2 linked regions of the Stegostoma tigrinum genome follow. The protein of the gene in region 1 purifies or fractionates together with the protein of each later gene. This does not show direct contact. Links are inferred from orthologs where the notes say so. Each region holds a gene or a part of one and is shown on either strand. Other genes may lie near its edges.

Region 1 (3,919 bases):
GTCCCCTCCCCCCACTACATCCCAAAACCAGCCCAGCCTGTCCCTGCTTCCCTAACCTGTTCTTCCTCTCACCCATCCCTTCCTCCCACCTATCTTGTTTTCTCTCCATCTTCGGTCCGCCTCCCTCTCTCTCCCTATTTATTCCAGTTCCCTCTCCCCATCCCCCTCTCTAATGAAGGGTCTCGGCCTGAAACGTCAGCTTTTGTGCTCCTGAGATGCTGCTTGGCCTGCTGTGTTCATCCGGCTCCACACTTTGTTATCTCAGATAAATGAGGTGTTGTATTTTGGTAAGGCAAACCAGGGCAGGACTTATACATTGAATGATAAGGTCCTTTGTGAGCCACAAACAGACTTTGAGGTATGGGGTTCAGAGTTACTCAAAAGTGGAGTTGCAAGCAGACAGGGTAGTGAAGAAGGCATTTGGTACACTTGCCTTTATCGGTCAGTGCACTGAGTATAGGAATTAGGAAGTCATATTGCGACCGTACAGGATATTGGTTAGGCCAATTTTGGAATACTGCGTTCAATTCTAGCCTCTCTGCTATAGGAAAGATGTTGTGGAACTTGAAACTGTTCTGAAAAGATTTATAAGGAAGTTATCAGGATCAGAGGGTTTGAACTTTGGGGAGGGCCTGGGGTTATTTTTTCTGGAGTAACAGAATCTGAGGGGTGACGTTACAGAGAGTTATAAAATCATGAGGGGCATGGATAGGATGAATAGCCAATGTCTTTTCCCCTGGGTAGGGGAGTCCAAAATTAGAGGGCATAGATTTAAGGTGAGAGGATAAAGATTTAAAAGGAACGTAAGAAGTAACTTTTTTACATAGAGTATGGTGTGTGTATGGACTGAAGTACCAAAGGAAGTGGTAGAGCTGGTACACTTACAACATTTAAAAGTCATACATTTCGCCGTACGAAAGGAATACGTTCCGAAAGCTTTTGATTTCAGTTGGACTATAACCCAGTGCCATGTGACTTGGTCCACCCCAGTCCAACACTGTCATCTCCACATCTTGGCTAACATTTTAAAGGCACCTGGATCCGTATATGAATAGGATGGGTTTAGTGGGGTATGGTTTAAATGCTGACAAATGAGACTGGATTAATTTAGGATAGCCGGTCAGCATGGACAAGTTGGACAAAGGATCAGTTTCCATCTGACTCATATTGGCCTGGAAACGTTTATTAACTCTTCTCTCTCCATTGTTGCTGCCAGACCTGCTCAATTTCTTTGTTTATATTTCACACTTCCAACATGTGCAGCATTTTGCTTTCCTTTAAAAGAAACTGATATTGTTGATAAGGAGCGCTCTCGGAGGCACAGTTATATTTGCATCACCTTAGTCTTGTCCCATATGCAAGGTGATCTAAAAGGGTGCTTTTTGATGATGAGGTAGACAAACAGGAGCCTGGAAGAACACAGCAGGCCAGGCTGCAACTGGAAGAAAGAAAGTCAATGTTTACTCTTCTTCAGGAGTGATGACCACGGTGGGGACAGATCTTTACGCCCACCTCCGTTGCTTCATGGAATAAAGGTGCAGTTCTCTGAAATTTTGTTTCATCCAGTCCTTTTCTTAGACCGCGTTTTACTTAACGGCCCATTGCATATCTGATCTTCGCTGCAAGCTAATGTCCATGCACCTTTCGGGCTCCGACCATGTAACGCAGACTGTGGCTTTAGTGACTGTCTCAATCACCGCAGATGCTCAACGGCTTAAGCTCGCGAGAGCTCTGTCCTCACGCTGCGATTTGGCGCCAAAGCACGGTCACTATGGCGACGGAGAAGGAGGCGAAGAGCCGGAATCTTCCCTGGTAAGAGCGTGCCCGGCCGAGCTCATTAAATACCCCGTGGGGCTGCGTTAACAAACCTCTGCCACCACCTGGAGTCAGCGGCCGCTGGGCTCAAGCGTTTTAATGTAACGGAAACTGTGCGAGGTCGCCGGCTTGTCTGGGGTTTCCTCACGGACGGAACTCAGGCTGTAGGGGCCTTGCTGCTCTCTTTCTCTGATTGTGTTCCTCCCCTCCTGTAGTATGTATCTGACTCTGGCGGTTTGGGTCTACTGTAACTTGCTGCCAGCCAAAGGCCTGATCCCCTGTCGGGTTCGCAGACTCGGCACTTTGTGCTTGTTGATTATAATCTCCCGATAACACGCAGCAAATGCAGTTTTTGCTTTTGTTTTGAAACAAAAAGGACTTTATTCATAAAATTTGTAAAGGTGTGCCCCATAACATTTTAAACTTCACTTAGATGTAATAGGGTTCTGTTGCCTTCAATGCATTATATGACACTGTATGGTATATACATATATATTTACTGTGCAATTCATGTCAAACGTTCTCTGGTGCATTTAGCTGGAGGGTTCCAGCTTTCATTATACTATAGTGGGACGACCATAGAGTGTGATCTTTCGCTGTTGAGATTTTGAGGTGAATGAGTAAAGTTTTAGTCTGGGTCACTCAACACAGTGCTGGATCTTGGAATTTTCTAGTCTTTAACATAGTGACGGAAAGCTGAAAAACTGACAAGTTTTGGGCAGACCAATATTTTTATATGTAGAATTAATGACCTTCTAGCAGCAACAGCAACATATGTTGTCAGAGAAGCTAGAGATGTGACCAATTTGAATCTACTCCACAATTCAGTAGGATTGTGTTTTATGCTCTATCACAATGCCTTTTTTGTTTTCTCCCCATACCCCTTGATGCTTTTAAAATCTAGAAATGTATCCAACTCTTGAACATATTCAGTGATGTGGCCTTCTCAGGTAGATTAGATTAGATTCCCTACAGTGTGGAAACAGGCCCTTCGGCCCAACAAGTCCACACCGCTCCTTGGAGCATCCCACCCAGATCCATCCCCCTATAACCGACACACCCCTGAACACTATGGGCCATATAGCATGGCCAGTCCACCTAGCCTGCACATCTTTGGACTGTGGGAGGAAACCGGAGCACCCGGAGGAAACCCACGCAGACACGTGGAGCATGTGCAAACTCCGCACAAACAGTCACCCGAGGCTCTAATCGAAACTGGGTTCCTGGTGCTGTGAGCCAGCAGTGCTAACCACTGAGCCACTGTGCCGCCCTAAAGAGAATTCCACAAGTTAATTACCGTGTGAGTGAAAACAGTCCTAAATGGTCTACCTACCCTGTATCCAGAGACTGTGTCTTCTGGTTTAATCTAGAATTCCCCAGTCAGGGAAGACATACTCCCTGAATCCAGTCTGTCCAGCCCTGTTAGAATTTTATGTTTCAATCCAATTTCATCTCACCTTTCTTTATAAACTCTAGTTTATACAGGCTCAGTCGAACCAGTCTCCTCATAGACTGACCTGCCATCCATGGTATCTGCCTAGTGAACTTCCACTGCTGTCCCTGCATGGTACTTGTATCCTTTGTTGGGTAGTGAGACCAAAACTGCTCACAATACTCCAAGTGTGGCCACACCAAAGCCTGTAGCACAGCAGTAAGACATCTGCTGAACTTAAATTCTCTTGCAGTGAAGGCCACCATATCAATAGCCTTCCTAATTGCTAGCTGCACCTCCCTGTCTACTTTCATTGATTGATGTATAAGGACACACAGATCTCTTTGTACATCCCTGTTACCTAATATGTCACCATTTAAATAATACTTCTGGTTTTTTTTTGTCCCAAAGTCACTTTAGCCATGTTGTTCTGCATCTGCCATGCGTTTGCCCACTCATTGAACTTGTCTAAATCACCTTGAAGCTTCCTTGGCACCTCCTCACATCTCTCAATCCCACCCAATTTTATGTCCTCAGCAAACCTGGAAATGTTGTATTTTGTCCTTCATTTTATAGATATTGTGAATGGTTGGAGCCCAGGCACTGTTTCTTGCAGTACCCCACAAGTCTTTGCCTGCTACTTGGAAAAAGACCCACTTATTCCCATTGTGT
Region 2 (3,919 bases), on another chromosome or scaffold:
GATGAGGGGAAAAAAAACGCACAATAAGTCCCTACATGAAGACTAAAAATGAAAAGAGAAGACGAGAAACTCCCATACCAGTTACCGGAGAGGTTCGCAGCGCCAATCTGGCAAAGTATTTCCTATCAGAGAGCGTTGCACGCCGCTTACAGTAGACGAATGGACGAAGCAGACCCAACTTCTAACTTTTCCAAGAGATAGTAGGAACTGCCGATGCTGGAGAATCTGACATAACAAGGTGTAGAGCTGGATGAACACAACAGGCCAAGCAGCCTGCTAGACGTTTCGGGTCTGGACGCATCTTTTTAATTCAGATTTCCGTGAAAGGGTCAGCTGAAACGTCAGCTTTCCTGCTCCTCTCAGGCTGCCTGGCCTGCTGTGTTCATCCAGCTCCACACCTTGTTGACTAACGTTTCCAAGCTGCTATCAGTTCTGAAGGGTCACTAGGCTCGAAATATTAACTCTCCTCTGTGTACGGACATTACCAGTCCTACTGAGTTTCTCCAGTCACTTCTGTTTTTTTGAGACAACCAGCATCTGCAGTTCACAGATTCATGGAAACACACGGCAAAGGGAAAAGTCCCACGGCCTATCGGATCCGCGCAGGTTTAAAATACAACCAGCTAACTATTCGAAATCCTCTTTCCAACACCTGGCCCATAGCTTTGCGTGCCTTGGTATCGCAAGTGCACATCTATGTACTTCTTAAATGTTATGAAGGTTTCCGCCCCTGTCACCTTAATGAGCTGCAGCTTCCGACCACACGGTGAAAAATATTTCTCTCACACCCCCCTCTACTAAACCTCCTTCCTCTTACGTTTAATTTATACCTCTGCCTTTGCTTTTAATTCAAAAGGTGAAGATTTTTCCCTACCTACACTCTACTTCAACAAAAAAAAATGCATCATTTACTAACCGAACATCAGCTCATGCTGAAGTAACGCCGATGATGAGAGGGGAGTGTCCCGCTGTCGTTGCTCAGCTCTGTCGCTCGCGCTCTGACAGGGCACAGCCCAGGGCCTAACGGTCGCCTCCCCGCGTCATTCGGGGCGGGGCGTTGCTCATGATTGACAGCGACCGGGAGCCAATCCGTTGATGGTCTTGCCCCCGAGTGCGCGGGGCGGAGCCAGGCCTATCCGGGGCGGGAACGGAGGCGGGGATCAGTCTCGGATTGACAGGCGAGCGCTGCCGGCTGTTGGGGAAGGGCGGCGGGTCAAAGGTCAGACTCAGTTGGCGCCATTTCTCGGGGTTTCGGGCGCGTCTTTCAAAGAGATTTTATGTCTTTACCCCCCCTCCCCCGTCCCGACTCCCGTTTTAGGAGGGGTGGGGGGAATATTCAAGGCAACGGGTAGAGTAACAATTAATTGGGAGTTTCAGTCTCATGTTTTTCGTAAAAGGTGTAGCGTAAATTTGATCTGATGTGATTGATTGTTTTGTTTTCATTTTTAAAAGAAAGCAAATTATAAGAAGAGGCCTCTCGGGTGAGGGCCCCACTAATGTTGTAAAAGGGGGCCACCGAAATGTGTGTTCACAGATTTCGACCTGAGGTTTCTTAAAGGCGAGTATTTGGCTTTGAATATGGCTGTCTGATCTGTTAGTATTTGTTGGAGACACTTGTTTCCATAATCAGAAATGCGTTTTATATCATTATCTCTTTGTAAACATGAAAAAAAATGACAACTTACTTAACCTATATATTGTTGAATGCCTGTCCAAGATAACCAGCTGGAGCTCTTTGCTATTAATGTTCTTCACTGGTCTTTTATCAGGTTTGTGAATGCCCAGGGTAGGGGAAGATTAAACTGATATGGTTGGGATTATTGCTATGGCCAGAATGGTGGAGGAACATGATCAGGTGAGACTATTTGGATTGTCATTTAACTTCCTTTCAAATGTCTTTTTGGACGTAAAATTGAAATAGTTGTTGTCATTCACATTGGAGTGTACTGTACTTCACGTTTGTTGATGATCTACTACAACTCACTGATTACATAGGCAGTAATAGTGTTGCAGTCATTATAATAAATGACTTCTATAAAAGTCACTTTGGATCAAAGGGGTGCCATACTGTGTCATTTGGAGATTTTATGACGAACCAAGGAACTGAAAAGCCTTCAGCTGGAAAAGCAGCAGAACTGACTGAGATAATCAAGGAAAGTAAGAAGCTTCCCAAGACAGTGATTAATTTTGTTTGTTTGTTTTACAGCCGTGCAAGAAACAGAAGAAAGATGCAGAGGATTCCTACACAAAAACAATTACAAGCTACTTTTCACCAGTATCCAAATCCCTCGACATGGCCTGCCCATCACCCAAGTCCGGTAACATAATGGATTACTTCAAGAAAACTCCTGGACAAAATGTTGCTTCAGTTGCATCGAGTGAATGTGAACGAAAGAATTCAGCGGTAATATCTGTAGACTACAGTAGGGAATCAGTTGTAGTCTCTGAGGGGAAACACCAAATCTCCAAAAGGAAAAGACTCAGTAGAAGAACTAACTTAAGCCGGAAATTGAATGAATGCCGCAAGATTGTTGAAATCAATGATTCTAGTAACTGTAGTGTTGGAGAGGTGTGTGACGTAAGGTCAGGCATTGGAGTTCTTGGCAGTGATACAGCTGCATTGATTGCTCAGCTTTGTGCAGAAAGCCAAGATATATTTAAAGAGAATGAGGAAAGTGTTTATATGAGTTCCAGTACTCTACAAAGAGAGATAAAAGGACAGAACAGAAAGGACACTTGCAATGAAGTTGTCAGCCATTCAAGTAAAAGAATCACCAAAAAAACACGGAAACGAAAGGCTTTGAGTAAACCTGAAGGTTCTTCAGAACAGTCCGATGTTGAACTTGTGACAAAGGATGATTACTGTGAGGAGGGGATCGAAGTAGCAAAGTCTAAAGGGGCTACTATCCCCATGGTTCTTGAAAATGAAAAAATACATTTCAGTGAGACAGGTTTGGAACCACCAGCCAATGAGACTCCTCAGGCAAATGACAGCACTGTTACTGTGTCATTCGAAGATTTTATGAAGGACCAAGGAACTGAAGAGCCTTCAGCTGAAAAAGCAGCAGAGGCCAACTCTGAGATAATTGAGGAACGTAACAAGCTTCCCAATTTAATAGAAGACATGAGTTCAGTTTCTCCTCAGCCAATCTCCCCAAAAACTGTTACTGTCCATGTTCAAATTCACTCTAGTCCTCTAGCTACCTCAGCTCAAAATTCCAAAGTGAAACAGAAAAAAATAGCCTCAATTTTTTTGAGAAAGAAAGCAGACTCTGAAAGTGAAGTGATTGAAATCCAACAGCTGAGCCCACATCCTGCTGAGAGCCATGATTCAGTTCCTGCAAGGAGATCCAATGTGGTGATAGCAGAGGAGGAGTTGGAGCTATTGGTATTGGATGCCACCGAAAAGAGTCCTATGAAGGCCAAGTGTAGTCGAGCTGAAAGGGAACAATTTATGAATGCTTTCAGGCGACCGCCCTCTTCAGATCAGGCAAAAAATGCACTTAAAAGGGTAACGCAGAAGTCAAAAGCCTCCAAGCAAGGTTTAGCACAAGGTGAAGGTAGTGATGATGAGCCCAATCTTGAGAAGGGAAAAGGGGAATTCGTCCAGACTACAAATGCTGAGATATCAAGCCAAGTCTGCAAAGATTCAAGGGTGGAAAGCAGAGAGTCTGTAGGTGCAACTTTGAAGAAGAAGAAAATGTTAAAACTCAGAAAACTTAGAGCTGAATGTAAAAACCTAGATAGTTGTGAAACAACGGGAGAAGAATTTAATCCTGATCTGAATCTGGGCTGTGTCACAAGTAAAGAATCCAGAGACCGAATGCCTTTGGATCTAACAACAGCGCGTTCAAATGAAACTTGTAGAACTACACGGAGGAGCCTTAGACAGCAAAGAGATGCTTTAGACAATTGCCAG

Evidence for each region.
Region 2: the proteins of rfc5 (region 1) and atad5a purify together in Homo sapiens (affinity purification with mass spectrometry; 4 studies listed by BioGRID and IntAct, counting the BioPlex papers as one, with this or other methods). This does not show direct contact. The link is inferred for Stegostoma tigrinum from reciprocal best matches to the Homo sapiens genes RFC5 and ATAD5.

What each region holds. Positions count from the first base shown.
Region 1 is NC_081379.1:34,697,419-34,701,337, reverse strand, and holds the start of rfc5 (replication factor C subunit 5), read left to right. Parts: upstream 1-1,687; 5' UTR 1,688-1,702; coding exon 1,703-1,812; intron 1,813-3,919. UniProt on the Homo sapiens protein: Subunit of the replication factor C (RFC) complex which acts during elongation of primed DNA templates by DNA polymerases delta and epsilon, and is necessary for ATP-dependent loading of proliferating cell nuclear antigen (PCNA) onto primed DNA.
Region 2 is NC_081375.1:3,873,206-3,877,124, reverse strand, and holds the start of atad5a (ATPase family AAA domain-containing protein 5), read left to right. Parts: upstream 1-1,244; 5' UTR 1,245-1,558; intron 1,559-1,769; 5' UTR 1,770-1,807; coding exon 1,808-1,855; intron 1,856-2,206; coding exon 2,207-3,919. UniProt on the Homo sapiens protein: Has an important role in DNA replication and in maintaining genome integrity during replication stress.